Oryzias latipes: one gene and its partners. The protein of the gene in region 3 purifies or fractionates together with the protein of the main gene of each other region. This does not show direct contact. Links are inferred from orthologs where the notes say so. Each region holds a gene or a part of one and is shown on either strand. Other genes may lie near its edges.

Region 1 (5,898 bases), on a different chromosome or scaffold from region 3:
CAAACAATCTATAATGATACAAACAGTGTCGTTATTTTACCAAACGGCATTTTTCCCAGGTTTTTAATTAACAAAGGAATTTGTTAGAATAGATAGAATCTCACCATTACTTTTTATAACAGCAACAGAAATGTTATCAATACTTCTAAATAACTCTGGTTTCTGTAAACTCAATGTTCTGGGAGAACAGCTAGCCATCACTCAGCTGGCAGACGACACGCCCACATTCATGAAGGACAGTCATCAAACACCTGACATCATTCAGAACCTGGATTTCTTCTCTAAAGAATCTGGTTTCAAACTGAATCTCAGCAAATGTGAATTGTTGCCAGTTCTCCATTCTGATCAGTCAGTCCTTCATAACATTCCTGTTAGGACTGCTGTGAAATATATTTAGTTCAGATCACCAAAGACAGTAAAACTATGGAGGAAATGAACTTATGGAAAACTTTAGAAAAATGTAAGTTAATGTAAACATCTGGTCACAGCGAGACATTTCTATTCAGAGTGTTTCTCACTAAATTAGAATGTTGATCCAGATTCATTTATCCAGCATAGGAAAGCAATAAACCCGAACAATTTCAACTTCATCTGGAAAAACAAAATTAATTCCATAAAAAAAGAACAATAATTCAGGATTACAGTGAAGGTGGACTTAAAGCCTCAGACTTTGAAAGTTTGGATGGTATGATTCAAATAAATTGGCTTAAGTCTTTTCTGCAAAATGGGAGAAATATTTGGTTTCATATTCCCTCAAACATCTTTTCTCATCTAGGGGGTATTGAGTTGCTTCTAAAATGTGATTTTGATTACAGAAAACTTCCTATTAAACTTTCTACTCATCATCAGCAGCTGTTACTGTATGGAAACTCCTCTACAAACATAACTGTAGTTCACACAATACTCCATATGGAACTGTTGGGATATTTTATGTAGGAACAAATCAATATTTTACAAACATTGGATTGATGACAGTATTTGGTCATTAATACATATTATGAATGACAATGGAAACATTATCTCATTTGAAACTTTTTCCAGTAAATTTAAATTAAATGATAGAAAATAATATAATAATGTGATCAAAGCCTCAGACTTTGGTCCAAATGTCCTCCAGTCTGGTTCATGATGATCAAGTTCAGCTTCCCTCTCTGTTGTTTGATGGTCGACCGGTTAATTCAAAACTTCCAAACTCATTTATACGATCTTTATTTGTTAGAGCCGTCCTGTTTCCAACATTAGACATAAATCATTCTATGTCACAGCTTTACACAAGAGAGGAAATAAGCAAGTTGAGGTCTCAGTTCATTAAATATCCAATTTTCCCAAAATACAAAGAAATCCATTTTAAAATAATGAATGCAGTCTATCCATGCAAAGAACTGTTACACATACGTTTAGGTTTTCCAGAGAATAACTGTTCTTTTTGTGATATAAATATTGAAACACTTGATCATTTGTTTTTTGAATGTATGTATGTTTACAGTTTTTGGGAGGATTTCTTTTTTTGGTGCTCTTCAAAGTTTCCCTTTCCTATTTCTATTCACTTACAAAAGCACATTATATTATTTGGAGTAGTTTCTGGTGATAATCTATTTGATTTGACATTCAATACCTTATTAATATCTGGGAAATTTTTCATTCACAAGTGCAGATTTGTAAAAACGAAACCATTATTTAATACATTTCTTAAAGAAATCAGTTTATATTTTAAATCTCTGACATTGATGAAAAACAAAAATGCAATAAAACTGTGTGTTTTCATTGAAGATCACATGCTGTATGACAATCCCTAGTGTTGTAAACTATAATTCTATATATTTTGTTTTATTTATTTACTTATTTTCTTTTTCTCTCTTTTTTGTATGTTGTTATTATGTGTATGTTTAAAGTTCAAATAAACAAAATTAAAAAAAAACAAAAAAAAACGTGAACGGACATCACGTGCTCTGATGACGTCACACAGGACCGAGCCTCTCCCGCCGCTGGGGGGCGGTAACGCTCCGGTCTCCGTGGTTCCCCCAGAAGAAGAAGCGGCGTCACCGGCAGCAGCGGACCGGGGAGATGGCGGAGGTTCGGGTAAAGAAAGAGACGAACCTGGCGGAACCTGCAGAGGTGGAGACCAGGTTCGGACCTCACGATTCTGCCGCGTGCCGGTCCATGACCGAAGCGCGTGCATTTCATCTACGAGCAGCTCCTTGGCTTGTTTCATGCGCGCGTGTCTTAAGTTCAGAAACGGTTCTGGTTCCGGAGGCTACTCTAAACCGAACCTCAGCAGGCTTCTAAGACCGAAACCACTTTGTCTGGTTCCAGAGGTTCGAATCGGGAGACCGACTCAGCTCACGCTCAGGTGGTTTTAGAACCGAGTCCAGTTCTGAAGGTTTTAGATCTGAGTAAACCTCCGAAGACTTCAGAACCGAGTGCAGGTCTGAAGACATTAGACTCGAGTCACTCGGGTCTAATGTCTTCATAACTGGACTCGGACTCGAGTCCCGTGAGTTCAGGTCTAAAGACTAAAGGAACCGAGTCCATCCAGGTCTGAAGACTTCAGAACTGAGTCCCGGTATGAAGGTTTTAGATCCGAGTCCAGGTCTGAAGACTTTAGAACCGAGTTCAGTTCTGCAGACTTTAGAACCGAGTCCCGGTATGAAGGTTTTAGATCCGAGTCCTGGTTTGAAGGTCCAGGTCCGAGGACTATCGCTGCAGCTGTTGGATGTTCTGGATGTTGTTCAGAGAACACGCGGATGGGTCAGACGGATTCTAGAGTTCAGGCGGTCTTTGGACCATTTCTGAAGATCCAACGTGACGTTCTGAACGGACCAGAAACACTAGAACCTCCGTCTTGGAGAGGTCCATCTGAAGATGTTCCTTTTTGTTCCAACTGGAGATGAGACCCAAGCTGACACAGGGTTTATTATGGGATGTCTGATCTTTGGAGCGACTGGACCTTGTGGTTCTGATCCAGGAACTTCAGCTCTGAACGCCTGTGTGTCTCCAGGATCAGAGAGCTGTGTCAGCAGTTCCCTCAGGGAATCACAGACCAGGTGATCCAGAACGACATGCCTCACCTGGAGCCGCAGCAGAGGGCCCTGGCCATCAACAAGCTGCTGTCCCTGGTTAGTCCGGTTCTGAACAACCCAATCCATTCTTCAGCGCAGAGGGGTTCTAACGTAACCTGGTGTTTGTTCCAGGGCCAGCTGGACTTGCTCAGGAACAGTTCTGGTCTTCTGTACAGATTAAAAGATTCTCAGACAGCCAGGTGAGCAGCGTTCCATCTGCAGGTTCTGGTTCTGTCCACCGTGAACCCCAATCCTCTGTTTCAGTAAGATGAAGGGCTCGGACAACCAGGAGAAGCTGGTTTACCAGATCATCGAGGATGCCGGAAACAAAGGTGAGCTCTGTCTGCCTCCTTCCAGAAGGTACCGCGGGTCAGAACCTCCCAGATGTTCTGTTCGCAGGAATCTGGAGCAGAGACATCCGCTTCAAGAGCAACCTCCCTCTGACCGAGATCAACAAGATCCTGAAGAACCTGGAGAGCAAGAAGCTCATCAAAGCCGTCAAATCTGTGGCCGTGAGTTCAGAACCGAGCCGGTCCAGACGTGCTTGTGGCCGCCGGCAGTCCTGAACTCTGCTCGTCTGCCACGCAGGCGTCCAAGAAGAAGGTCTACATGCTGTACAACGTGCAGCCGGACCGCTCCGTCACCGGAGGGGCCTGGTACAGCGACCAGGACTTTGAGTCCGAGTTCGTGGAGGTTCTGAACCAGCAGTGCTTCAAGTTCCTGCAGAGCAAGGTATGGAGAACCCAAATGTACGGAACACCAAACCAATGGGTCACAAAGGTCAGAGGTCAGCTGTAGAGCTACGTTTACACCGGGAAACGCGTTCAAGGGACCGCTTTGAGTCCAAAGTCTACGGGAACGCGTCTACGCTTCCGCCTCCAAACTCTACAAAAAGCGCCGCCATTGAACGTGAAACCAGTTGAACTTTGACCAATCAGGGACTCTGAGTTGGTTGCGACGTATGATGGCGTCAAAGCAGAAGTACCAACGACTGAAACTTGATCAGAAAGGACAAAGTAATAACTGCGGTTTGTGTCGACGCCAAGTCTATGATGGATCAGAATCGAGCTGTGAACAAAAGACTCACCAGATTTGGACGTTTCCCACCGAGTCGTCCAACCGCAGGAGACGGCGCCGGGTAGCCACAGTCCAGAATGAACGCCGTAGGCGAGCAAAGGTTCTGTGGTCTTCAACGCGCATCACGTGTGTGAACGTAGCACCAGGCTGAGGGGCCCACCCCTCACCCCCACTCACCCCTGTGTGCAGGCGGAGGCGGCGCGGGGCGGCCAGCAGAGCCCCATGGTTCAGAGGAACAGCTCCTTCGCCACGTCTCACGAAGTCTGGAAGTACATCAGCGAGTTGGGCATCAGCAAGGTGGCCCCGCCGTGACCTCACAGCCCCTCCCAACAGCTGCAGCTGTTCTCACAGGTGTCCCGTGTGCAGGTGGACCTGTCCATGGACGACATCGAGACCATCCTGAACACGCTGATCTACGACGGGAAGGTGGAGATGACCGTGATCGCCGCCAAGGAGGGGACGGTGGGCAGCGTGGACGGACAGATGAAGCTGTACCGCGGCGTGAACGCCGTGCTGCCGCCGGCGGGCCTGGTGAAGACGCCCTGCGGCCTGTGCCCGGTAAGCCGCGCTCCGACGCCCCCTGCTGCCGCTCCGGCTGCGGCACTCACCCCCCCCCCCCCCCCAATCTCTCTGCAGGTGTTTGACGACTGTCACGAAGGGGGGGAGATCTCGCCATCCACCTGCATCTACATGACAGAGTGGCTGGAGTTCTGACTCCGCCCATGGAACCCCGCCCCTTTCCTCCATGGAGCCACGCCCCTTTCCTCCATGGAACCCCGCCCCTTTCCTTTGGTTACGTCTGATTTAAGTTAATAAAGTTTTACTGTTGTGTGAAAAGCGACTCATGAATTCTGACTGAAGTGATTTTGAAGAAAGATCTTTTTTCAGATTTCCCATCAAGAGCGGCCAAAGGCCCCGCCCACAAGCTGTGTAACGTCATCCATGCTCGTTATAAACAGGAAATGGAAAAGATCCTTAAAACCAAGGGTCCCCAAACGATGGCCCGCCCCCCCATTAGACCCGGCCCCCTGAACGATACCAGAGAGAACCAGTTTATTATTATTGAAGCGTAGAAAACAGAATCAATAAAACTTGGAACAGAAAATGACAATAAGGGAAAGAATGCAGGATTTGAACCAGAGCGCTGACCACTGCTCCACCATGCCGCCTCCCAGGAGGAATTTAGCATTTGGATTCTGCGTATAGGGACTGCGGTTCTGAGATGGATCCGGTTTCCTGGAGCGGCCCGACCCGCCTCACAGATCGATGAGGAACATCGCTGACCATCAGGTTAGTCTGCCCCCCCCCCCCTAATGGACTCTCTGCTGACCGTCAGCAGGTCATGTGACCCATTAATGACCCCCCCCCCCCCCCATCAGAACCTTTAGACTAAAAACAGAAAACGGATCAAAACCGGAAATATAGAAAAGGTTCGAATCAACCAGAACTTGACATGAAGTCGCTGAACAGAACCACAAGAACTGGACCCAACTGAACTCAGAACTTCTCAGGGTCCAGTGGGACGGGTACCACCATCAGTGACGTCAGTGTTCGCTTCCTCCAGATCTGGACCGGAGTCCAGGTGAGCTTACACCTGCCAACCGAACTGAACCCTTATGGGAATCAAACCTGTGATCAGAACATGAGGACGGTCCCGACTCAGAACCGATTCTTTCCAAAGTTCTGATGGGCGCTGAGAACGGACCTAAAGTCCCCCTTCAATCCAGAACCGTCCGGAATAACACAGTAACGGTTACCGCGC
Region 2 (6,059 bases), on a different chromosome or scaffold from region 3:
AAGGAAACCAAGTTGCCATCGATGTCTGTTGCATTGAAATCGTAAATAGATGTGGCCCTCTGCCAGTCCTCTGTCGGAGTGGACTGTTGGTTAAAGGTAAACATTGTTTTAAAGGCATAAAAATGTCAATCTGGGTGAAAATCAGCACAAAAATAAACAAAAATATACCAGACATGACATAAAACATAAGAAAAAATGAACAAATCCATTCTATAAAAACACAAAACAAAAGCAGAGCTGGCAAAGTTAGGTTCCAGTCCAATGCAGCTCCTGTCATTTCTTACCATAACCTGCAGCAGGACAGAGAAAAGCACTGTACAGCCTGTCAGGAGCATGGCTGCCCTTCAGTTCGCCTCTATAAAGGCAGAAAACAATCCGATCTCTGATTCCCCCTCCCCGCGACTCTGGCTTTATACGCAAAAAGCACACGTTGCAGTGTCCTCACAGAGAAAACATGTGATCTGTAACGCAGCTGATAGGATGGGATTGTCCAGCACTTCCTACTTTCCTGCTGGCAATTAAAGCCTGCAGATCAAAAACACCTTTGTACTGCGGTCCACAGTTCACAGCATTGACATAATCTCAAGACAACCTGAGCCATTTGCCCAGGCAAAGGAAACAAAAACACATTGTGTCAAATGATTAAAACTAATAGGGAAAAGAATCTAATCCCAGAAAAAAAGAGATCTTAAATGTACTGATTTGATCAACAAACCACGACAGGAAATAAGAAACTTCACGATTTATCAGTCATTGTGTTTGTTTTGAACTGTTCTTCTGAGCTGTCTTGGTATTTAGACTCATATAAAAACCTAAATGGAATTTAGCAATGTGTTCTTAAATGGCAAAACATACAAAATGTGAAGGTAAATGTAAAAAAAATAAAAAAGTAAGGCAGAGGTTTTTTACGTCATACAAAAAAAAACATCTAAAATGTTGACACTGTGATATGTTTATCAGCTGGTGCCAGTGAACAGACGGAGTGAAGGATGCTGGCGCTGCTCCAGCGTTTGTGACTATAGTCTGTTCTGTTCCGGACTGTTCGGAACCATCCAGAACTCGCTGGCTAACAAATATAAGAGGTTTATGAGCTTATGGAGAAATCTCCTTACGAGGTGTTAAGCAGAACGATGACAAAAACACAACAATAACAGGAGACATGCCTACGTATGCATAGACATGTAATAATACATGTACTCCAATGGAAACGCATGCACTGTGCTAGGCTATGCAATCAGGTTATAGAGAAGAAATACTTTACCGTGGTGGACAAAACAAAGTACAGTACCATCGCCAGCAGTGCTCCGCTGCTCGCTATAGCCCCAACTGTCAACATAACAATTAATGGCCTCATTTTTGACAGCGACTTAAATAAAAATAATAATAAAAAGGCCCCAGTTATCGGAAAAAATCTATTTTGTTCATTGTAAGCGCACGTGACTCATTTCCACCCAGTGTTGTGAAACTCAAGTGGGTGGAGTCAAATGCTTGACAAGACAAGGAGGAAATGACGTATGAGGTTTTTCAAAACAAAAATAAAAATAAAATATAGGTCAAAACGTTCAAAAAAAGGGGGGGGGGTAGGAGATAGAGGTGCACGATATGAGGAAACTCGCGTTCTGCGATATCAATGATCAATATTGCGATGACGATATAACTAGCGATACATGAACAAATAGCAAAACAGCCAAAAGACAGTTTCTATTTCACTGCAACAGTTTAATTTAAAGAAGAGTCAAGATGACGTACTTAAATTATACTCAATGACCCTCGTCTACATTCTAAGATTTTATCTATTTTTATAGATAAAATGTGTCATAATTAAAACATAGAAGGTGATATATTTATTTATTATTAGCAAAATATACTAAGCTTTTTTAAAACCTAAATTCAGTCAGTAAAAAATAAATTTAGAAAGAGATTTTTAATTCTGAAGCAAATTTTTATTTTAATTTATTTTTTTTACCATAAGTAAATTGTCTTCAGATTTACATTTCCAATTAGCCGAAGTTAAAAAAAAATACCGAATAATTAAGAACATTTTATGAAGACTTAATAAATTCGCTCTGAAGATAATAACCTGGAGGACTTTTCTTTAAGAACAGTTTTTTTAAACGTCAACTCGATCAAACGCAATGCATTGTGGTATATAATATTGGCCAAGCCAGGAACCATCGATGCCATCGGATTTTTAGAAGAATATTAGTGATTTAAAAATACGAAAAGGAGAATAAATTGAGAAAGGATGGACGATGAAGAGGAAACTTACCGGCTGTGGAAGATCCGTAAAACAATAATGCAGGTGGATTAAATAAAAGGATATACTAGCTTAGCAGCGAACTAGCTGTTAGCTTCACATGTGGCTCGCGTTAAAGAGTCGCTTTTGACTGCCATTGTTAAAGTTGTAACTAAATCTTTTACGTTTTGTGTGTTAATCTCTTATTCTCAGTGCAAGTCGTTCCAATTACGCGCTCAGACTTTTTTTTTTAATTATTATGTGTAGGAATGATGCATTCGTTAGCCTCGTTTGAACGAAGGCTAACTTTAGCACACCCATGATGACCCATTAAAAAAAGCCAACATGTTTTCGTACATGTAGACTACATGTATGACAACATGAATGCTTCAAATCATTAAATACACTTTCACAAAGTTTGCTGCTAAACTGCTTTTAGATTTTTGTTTCTGTGATGTACTGAAATATAGTTATCAGCTCTTTATTACGTTTAGGCTTTTTTTAATCGACAATAATTATATGACATTTATGCAGAGAGTCAGGTTTTGCAGTGTTGGACTTCCTTTGTCAGCACCCCTGCAATTCGACTGGGCATGCTGTCAATCAACTTTAGGGCCAAATCCTGACCGATAGCAACCCAGATTGATTAAGATCTGGGGAGTTTCCAGGCCGTGGACCCAAAATGTCAACATTTTGGTCCCCGATCCACTTAGTTATCACTTTTGCCTCATGGCACGGTGCGCCATCGTGCTGGAAAATACATTGTTTGACGCCAAACTGTTGTTGGATTGCTGGAAGAAGTTGCTGTTGGAGGGAGTTTTGGCACCATTCTTTATTCATGGCTGTGGTTTTGGAGAAAAATGCGAATGAGCCCACTTCCTTGGATGAGAAGCAACCCCACACATCAAGGGTCTCAGGATGCTTTACTGTTGGCACGACACGGGACAGGTGGTAGCTCTCACCTTTTCTTCTCCGGACAAGCCTTTGTCCAGATGCCCCAAACAATCGGATAGAGGCTTCATGGGAGAATAGGACTTTGCCCCAGTCCCCAGCAGTCCACTCGCCATACTTTTTGCAGAAGATCAATCTGTCCCTGATGTTTGTTTTTGGGGTGGATAAGTGGCCATCTTCTAAAAGTCTCCGCCTCACTGTGCATGCAAATGCGCTCACACCAGCCTGTTGCCATTCCTGAGCAAACTCTGCACTGGTGGCGCTCCGATCCCACAGTTAAAACCCATTAGGAGACGATTCTTGGCACTTGCTGGACTTTCTTGGACGCTCTGAAACCTTGTTAACAAGAATTGAACCTCTTTCCTTGAAGTTTTTGATGATCCTATAAATTGTTGATTTAGGTGCAATCTTAGCTGCCACAATATCCTCGCCTGTGAAGCCATTCTTATGCAACGCGATGATGGCTGCACACGTTTCTTTGCCGGTCAGCATGGTTAACAGTGGCAGAACAATGATTTCAAGCATCACCCTCCTTTTAACATGTCAAGTCTGCCATTCTAACCCAACCGGCCTGACATCATGATCTCCAGTCTTGTGCTCGTCAACATTCTCAACTGAGTTAAAAAGACGATGACTGAAATGATTTTTGGGGGGGGGATTCATTTAATTTTCATGGCAAAGAAGGACTACGCAATTCATCTGATGACTCTTTGTAACATTTTGGAGAACATGCAAATTGCTATTATAAAATCCTAGGCAGCAACTTTTGCAATTTCCAATATTTATGTAATTCTCAAAACCTTTGGCCAACACTATACATATTAAAATGTTGTTTGTTTTTTTTAACCACAGCTCTGCCACGATCGAGGCTATCTGGTAACACAAGATGAGTTGGACCAGACCCTGGAGGAGTTCAAGAGTCAATTCGGAGACAAACCCAGCGAGGGTCGTCCCAGACGGACGGACCTTACAGTCTTGGTCGCACACAACGATGATCCCACTGATCAAATGTTTGTTTTCTTTCCTGGTAGGTTTATACTTGAGAATAATTTGGGAACTCATCCTTTTATCCATAAAATAACCAAAAGTTTAAGTTACACTCCAATCATATTTCGATTTATTTTTAAAGGAGTCCCCAGTGGTATTATATTTATGAATGCTCTGTTTTTAGCCAAATTCATAAAAACCTGTGTGGGCATCACTGTTGGCACGGACGTAAGCCCCTGCTGATATCCCATCATCCCTTTTTTGTTTACACACTCTCCCATTAGATTACATTGACTTTATTAGAGAATTGAGCCATGGTGACGTCGCCTTTCTTCCGGCTCCAGAGAAATGAAGCCAATAGACCCTTTTCATGGTGACGTCAGACAAAACAGAGACATGGGCGCCATTGTGTCACCGTACTTCTGGTTTTAGACGAGCAAAGCTGACAACTGAACGCTGTTTAACACCATTCTATGAGAAGAATACACACTAACCTTACCAATCGCAACGGCACTTTTTACATGATTTATTTTATAAATGTCATATCCAACTGTAGTCAATTTCCTCTTTTAAATCTTTCACAAGTCAAAATACAAATTTAAGTAATCCATCAATATTTAAGGTTCAGTTGAAAATATCAACCTTTCATTTGAGTCTAACAGGTTATATTTTTTTACAGTTTCCTATTCTTTTTATCATTTTTCTTTTTCGCAGATCAGACACAGTTATTGGCAATAGCAAAGAGGTTCAGTGTTAGAAAATATTGCAACCGTAATTAGTTGTACTTTAATATAAGACACACTGGAACTGTCTTCAATTCTGTCATATTTGTCCTCCATATTAAAAAAACACCGTTTTCACCGGGGTGGCTCATCAAACATGGGAGCAGCGAATGTATTTACATTTCTGAACAAGCCTAATAAAGCTTTATTCAAAATGATTCTTTTTCTATTCTGGATTAGAGGAACCCAAGGTCGGGATCAAGACAATCAAGATGTACTGTCAAAGGATGCAGGAGGAGAACATTACTCGAGCCATCATCGTGGTTCAGATGGGCATGACACCCTCAGCTAAGCAGGTATGTGTAATCATTTAAAACTAAGGCTGGGTATCGTTGCTAAAGTTTACATACTGGAACGGTTCCTGATCATTACATTGTTGGATACTGATTCAAAAAAATATTTTTATAACACATTCTTCAGAAATGTTTTATCTTATTTTGAAAGTAATGACTTATCTCTAACCAGTGTACACACAAAAAAAGCACAATGGGCACAAAGTGAAATCAACACAACATATCTGTACACACAGACTGCTAAATAACTTGATATATTTGAGGCTCACTATATATAAGTATCAAAATTTGGTATAAGACTCAAATTATTCCTTCAATTGTTGATATTGTTAAGATATTTAAGTCAGTGTCTACAATGACTCTAACTTGATGCACGGCCCTAATTGAAATATTACTAAAATAAGCAAAGACGCTGAACATTTACTTGAAAATGTAATCCTATTTTACAGTCTCTTGTGGACATGGCACCAAAGTACATTCTGGAACAGTTTCTGCAGCAGGAACTGCTAATAAACATTACAGAGCACGAGGTAAATTTCTTGTTATCAGTCTAAAGTTTGATAGAACTGCAGCAAATGACTGTGAGTTGTAACTCGTTGTCTTGTGTTTGATTTTCAGCTTGTCCCAGAACACATCGTCATGACGAAAGAAGAAGTGACGGAACTTCTAGCTAGATAGTATCTTTTACACTGGTGTACAAATTCACTCACTATCCCGGCCTAACCCATGAATGACTATAACGTGTGGGACTATTGAGTGAGCTGGATTTTAATGCGATCTGAACTGAAGCGCCTCACTGTTTGTTTGTTT
Region 3 (5,717 bases):
TTGGGGCGGTCACCGCGCGAAGGGCCCTTAGCAACAACGAACAGCCTCTCCCGCTGTACTCTCCATGTTTGCTGGCCATTAGCCTCTGGCGGTCGTGAGTGTCCGCCCCATTAAACAACAGCTCTCCTAGTGTGTCAATTAAGTTGGAGAGCGTGACTGAACTCAATTAAACGACGTGGAGCGCGCATCCCCCAGAGCGCACCTGGAACTTTACGCAACACTTTGAGACGTATACAATTTCTCCTAATCCAAGCGTAGGAAGGCCCTGAGCTTAGCTACAGCTGAACATTATCAACTATTTGCTTTTTGGATCCTCAAAAGCAATGATGGCGCTTTTCATGGTATCCTAATGCAGCACTCAGCAATGCAATAAAGTTCAAGCAAACCAATTCTGCGCTAAAGAGTCGCCTGATATGGCTTAATGGTATTTGATCATTGTTGCAAAGAGGAAGGAAACAGTTAACCAGGACTAGACTCTACTACAGTGGAGATGGACTGCGTGATTTATGAAGCATGACTATGAAATGTTTTTAGAGAACTTATAGACCTTTTTGTGAGCAGAGGGAGAAATGGTCTAACTGGTTGTAATCGAGGCGTTAAAAAAAAAAAGCTTTGAGAACAATAAAACCTGAAAATGACTCAAAAACAAGAGCTATAGTGAAGTTACAACATCACCTTCGGCTAAAGTAGATGTCCAGGAAGATGGAATTCTCATCTTTTCTTTTTATTCATAGCTATAACAGTCGTACTGTGTCTTCACGGGGACTGGGAGTGTAAGGAAACCACTTTTCTCCTTTGAAAAACAAGAGCGGTTCTGATAGCTGCTGTGCACATTTCAAAACATTAGACAGGATATAAAATTTGTTTACTCTTTGGCGACAGCAGCATGGCTTATATAAACACCAGTGGTGGATAACCACAAAAGAATGGTTAATGACATTATAATGGAGCTACAGCCACCTTTACAAAGTGGAACATGATAAAACAAATATTAGCTTTGATATGATTTTTAGATTATATCCTAAAAAGTATATTTGATGTTTCGTTCTGGTGCATAAAGATTCATGTTAGAACTGTAAGAGGATCAATTATTCATGCCTGAAAACACAAAATATTTATTTCCTTTTACTCTCTTCATTCATTCATTCAAAAGCTGTAATACAAATTGTATATTCTGTCACTGTACAATTCGTTGTGATCAGCAGAGGTCCTTCTAGTCTGTCTGGGTCTCTGTGAGGGTGAGAGGGCTCTACAGAACTATTTCAAGTCAGCCATACTCCTCCAGCCAATTAATTTTTCAGTAGAGCATCAAGGCTACCTTTAAAACACAGCAAGTTCATTCATGAAGAACTTCTTTTTCTGTCTCCGTTTGGTCCATCGGCATGCTTCCTGTCTCTGCTGTTGTCCCCGTGTCTGTCAGATTTGTTCTTATCTTTGTCCAGTTCCTTATCTCGGTTTGAACGGGTGTGATGTTTATGGTCTTTGTGGCGTCCATTACTCCTGTGGTCTGTCGGAGGTGTTCTGCTGCGGTCACACCGTCTGTCACGGGACTTGTGGGTCAGGCGGTCTCTTGTTTTGGAGTCTGCGGTTCTCTGCTCATCGTTTCGCCGCTGCAGGCCGGTAGAGCGCAGAGTGTTGAGGAGAAAGCGTTTGTTGGTGCTCTGCAGGGGACATTTCAACCTGACAGAGAAGAAGACAACACAACCACTTAAAAATTCAGAATTAAGGTTTTTTTTTTAATCTAAAGTCTAATGTGAAAAGCGACAGTTATCTGATCAGTATATCTGACAGATGTATAGTCGTTTCCATTAAAGGACAAATTGTCTCCAGAGTACAATTTAAATTATAGGACAACTATTAAGGGCATGACTTTGCTTTAAGTTGGGAGTTAGATGCTCACCTTACTGCTTTTTGTATAATTTCACTTTTTGTTAGGTTCCCACATGAAAATAAAACATTATGGTATTGTGCTGTTTTTCCATGTTTTCTAACACTTAAAAATACTGGGTCATTCTTTAATTTACTACTAAATAGTGTGATAAGAGGTGCAAGTTTTCTGGAAATTACATAAACCAACTTTTTTTTAATATTCTGTAGTTTTTTTGGACCAGACCTAAAAAACAAAATAACATAAACCTCTTCATTAGAAACCCACAAAAAAGAATAAAGTCCTTCTAAATTTGTTTAAGATCTGTTAAACATACACAAATAAATCTTATCATTTCAAGAGACTCAATGAAGGGAGATCCAAAGAGAAACCCATTAACCATCAAACAGATCAAATACACAAAAAGTGAATAGGTCAATAAATAATTTCATGCAAAAGAAATCATTGTGCAACAATATACTTGCAAACATTTGTCGATCTAATTAATACAGATCAGTCAACAAATATTGGTTACCAAGATAAATCTATGATTGTAAATGCGACACAGTGTGAAAAAACTCAAACTGTAATTGTTACACAAAAGACAAGCCTTGCAGACTTCAGAGAACGTTGTCATGTAAATGTTTGGGATAGACAAAAAAATGTGAAAAGTTTAAGTTAGGTAACATTATAATTATGGACAGTCTTTTAAAAAAAAATTTTATTTGCCTTTTGTCCCCTCCTTTCAAGTGACTTTTGTAACTGCATTAAATGACGAGTGAATGACAGCTTCAGAACATTAGCTTTGACCTCTCACATCTGAAATAAATCAAGAAGAAAAAAATAGTTTTGATAAATCAGCGTCAGCCCAGAAAATAAAAATGTCTGAAAGCATATTTTCAATTCCAGGAAAGTTCACAGGGTTATACCGTTTTTTTTAGACATAGAATCACTACAGACACACAATCAATAAATAAATATTAATAATAAATTTAGTCTATATGTGTGTGCTTTTAGATGCCAAGAGAGACAAGTGTCTTTGGGAACCTGACGAATTATCTATAATAGAAAACTAGTTAAACACAAATACAACAATAATAGAAGCCTCCAAAAAAAACAGCTAAACCTATGAAGTAAGATTTTACATGGCGTTTTATGTGGAGGCTGTCAGGGATGACATTTCAGAACCATAACTCACCATCCTGCAGGGCCCATGGTCTCAGCTCTCACCCTGGCTCTGTCTGTCTCCTTGAGGAGTTCCTCTATAGCCCGTCTGGAGGAAAAGACGTAGAAAAATGCGGATAACAACAGAAGACCAAGATGACATAAAAGCTCAAGGGGAGACTAATATAATTATGTGCGAGCGAGGAAGAAAATAGGAGACGCGGAGGAAGTGAATCATAAGTAATTGGGACATCAGCGGTGTCCCCGTTTAACCCGACCAGCTGAGGCATTAGTCTCGCAGGGGGCTCTCTCTGATTCAGCCGATCTTATAGCACGTAGTGAGAACAGCTGTTGATTGCCAAAAGGCAGAGTGTGTTGACTGCTACACAAGATACACTCCGTCCCCTAACCAAAATAACCCCATAGCTACAGAAATGCATTATGCAAACATGCTAGCCTAATCTGGTGGTACCAGACACCATTCCCCCGATGTATTAGTTTAACCGAGCAAACGTAAACAAGTTAATCGATGATAATCTAAAAATAAAAAATACTTACTTTTCCAATTCATTATCTTCAGCCATTATGCCTGACCACCTAAAGACTTTAAAACGCAGAATTATTTCAGGAAATTTCTACAGGCTCATGTTAGGGGATTTATTTACCTCTGCGAGGTCCTTCTTTCGAGGACCTGATTTTATGACCAAAAGATGCCTGATCATTTCATTGTTTTATATTGTTAAACCATAACATTTTTTTTTAAATAAATAATGCATTTTTGTAAAATTCACGCCGTTTTTAGAACCCAAACATTTATTCTAAAGTAATTTAGTTACTAAAATAATAGTTGTAATTGTCACATTGAAAAACAAAAAATATTCCATGCCCTGTATGATCCCGAAGCTTTATCCGTTTATGTTATTACCTCTAACATATCGGAATCATAAACATATTAAAAGATTTTAATTCCCGCTGAATGGACGTTTTTGGGCAGGCGACATTGAAGCCACCTCTACTTTTTTTTTCTTTTTTTTGTGGATTGACAGCGGCAAACTCCGCCCAGTCTCTTTGACGGACAGCAGTGGGCGGGACCAGGCACCAAAGTGACGGGGGCGTTTTCGTGCAGGTTTGCGGAACGGGCCGTCCGTTGCGGCGACTGCGTGACTGAGGTCCCGCAGCTGCTAATTGTCCCGCCACCCCCGCCCCTCTTCGAGGCCCGGGCGCGGCGCAGAGGAGCAGCCTGAAGAGGTAACATCACATCTGCATCCTTTCACTGTAAGCGGCGTCAGTGTGTGTGATGCTGGCTTTTTCTGTTATTACCATTGTCGCCTCTTCTGTCCTCCCTTTTCGCTCCTAGGGGGGGTTGGACTCAGACAGTGAACGGGGGGTTTGAGAGATGGGGGGAGGGCTTATCTAAACATTGATGGTATCAAAAATATATATATATATATATTTTAGTAATTGCTTTGCAGATGGGGCGTTATTAAGGTAAATGCAGAAAATTGACAATAATAATTGAAAATGTAATTTACAGCAGGCTCAGTTTTTGTATTATTACTAATGCATGCAAAAAATAAATATATAATAATGTTCACATCAGTTCTCGTGCTGTCTTTGTGTGTTTAGTATTTGTAGGATGAAAGACATCCAAATGAGGTTTTTGTAAAATATCTGATACCTGGGTGCCTGATACACCTGAGTTTTTAAATGAGTGCCATAGAGTCTTTTGATCTTCTAAAAAGGAAACTCCTGCATGCCGCTGCCTAGTTCTCCCAAGATTAGATAGTAATCTGTGGGAAAATGAGAGCAAGTGCAGGACCGGTATCCTAATATAAAAAGATGAGCAAGTACAGCTTTGAACTCAGACAAGAAGGATTAAGAACGTGTCACACGCATCTGCAAGCCTTCACTTATTAAAAAAAATCAGCCCAGCGTGGCTTTTGTCTAAAATAGATTGTTTTTCAACTGCTTCCTGACTCAAAAATGCATTTACTGTTAAAACCGGAAGGCGTTATTTATTGATGAGGAGATTTCAGGGGCTTCTGCCTAAAAAAAGCCCTTGTGTGTTTCTGTTTGCTCTTGCTTGTGCATGTCTACAAGTCTGTGTGTGATGTGGTGATGTCACAGCTTTGTTACAGAGACAGAGAAGCCTTGTGTCCTCATGTTAAATTCATGTCCAGCTGCAGGATAGGGACAGAAGCAGCCAGTCAGACACAGACAGGAGCACGCACTTGAAGGAGGCAGAAATCTGTGACTACCGGCCTGGTAGCTAAGGAGACAGAGGAGACAGGTTGCATCAGAACTGGATAACTACACAGATGAGATTGAAAAAAAGAAAAACACAAAAAAGGGGGGAAAAAATCAACAAATTGGACTCATATATCATTGTCTGACAAGCTTTCAGCTTCTGCTGTGGAGGAGCACAGAGTCCTGCTGGGAGAAGTGCATCTGTTGTGCACCTCCTCTGCATCCTTTTCTGGCTACACTGTGAATGTCAAACCACACTGAACAGAACAGGATCCAGGTCGTCATGGAGACAGGAGCAGACCCTTGCTGGAACAGAGGCAGGTAGTCACTGTGGCTTGGCTGGCCCGCTGTGGGGAGAGGCACGCCCTCTGCTGTCCGCTAACAGCATCAGTTCCAGAGGGGCGAATGATGCTGATGAAGATCTGAAAGGCGTTGGATG

What was found. Proteins that work in one complex are often made in the same cells at the same time.
Region 1: the proteins of protein POLR1D (region 3) and polr3f purify together in Homo sapiens (affinity purification with mass spectrometry; 3 studies listed by BioGRID and IntAct, with this or other methods). This does not show direct contact. The link is inferred for Oryzias latipes from reciprocal best matches to the Homo sapiens genes POLR1D and POLR3F.
Region 2: the proteins of protein POLR1D (region 3) and polr2e purify together in Homo sapiens (affinity purification with mass spectrometry; 4 studies listed by BioGRID and IntAct, with this or other methods). This does not show direct contact. The link is inferred for Oryzias latipes from reciprocal best matches to the Homo sapiens genes POLR1D and POLR2E.

The regions. Positions count from the first base shown.
Region 1 is NC_019859.2:413,507-419,404, reverse strand, and holds polr3f (DNA-directed RNA polymerase III subunit RPC6), read left to right. Parts: upstream 1-1,967; 5' UTR 1,968-2,064; coding exon 2,065-2,126; intron 2,127-2,998; coding exon 2,999-3,116; intron 3,117-3,191; coding exon 3,192-3,259; intron 3,260-3,323; coding exon 3,324-3,391; intron 3,392-3,458; coding exon 3,459-3,571; intron 3,572-3,647; coding exon 3,648-3,791; intron 3,792-4,325; coding exon 4,326-4,433; intron 4,434-4,502; coding exon 4,503-4,694; intron 4,695-4,772; coding exon 4,773-4,850; 3' UTR 4,851-4,977; downstream 4,978-5,898. UniProt on the Homo sapiens protein: DNA-dependent RNA polymerase catalyzes the transcription of DNA into RNA using the four ribonucleoside triphosphates as substrates.
Region 2 is NC_019862.2:26,973,863-26,979,921, forward strand, and holds the start of polr2e (DNA-directed RNA polymerases I, II, and III subunit RPABC1), read left to right. Parts: upstream 1-2,128; 5' UTR 2,129-2,245; coding exon 2,246-2,302; intron 2,303-4,039; coding exon 4,040-4,214; intron 4,215-5,136; coding exon 5,137-5,252; intron 5,253-5,698; coding exon 5,699-5,779; intron 5,780-5,867; coding exon 5,868-5,926; intron 5,927-6,059. UniProt on the Homo sapiens protein: DNA-dependent RNA polymerase catalyzes the transcription of DNA into RNA using the four ribonucleoside triphosphates as substrates.
Region 3 is NC_019878.2:17,474,501-17,480,217, forward strand, and holds protein POLR1D, read right to left. Parts: upstream 3,755-5,717; 5' UTR 3,697-3,754; exon of another isoform or gene 3,636-3,696; 5' UTR 3,616-3,635; coding exon 3,590-3,615; intron 3,141-3,589; coding exon 3,066-3,140; intron 1,681-3,065; coding exon 1,341-1,680; 3' UTR 851-1,340; downstream 1-850.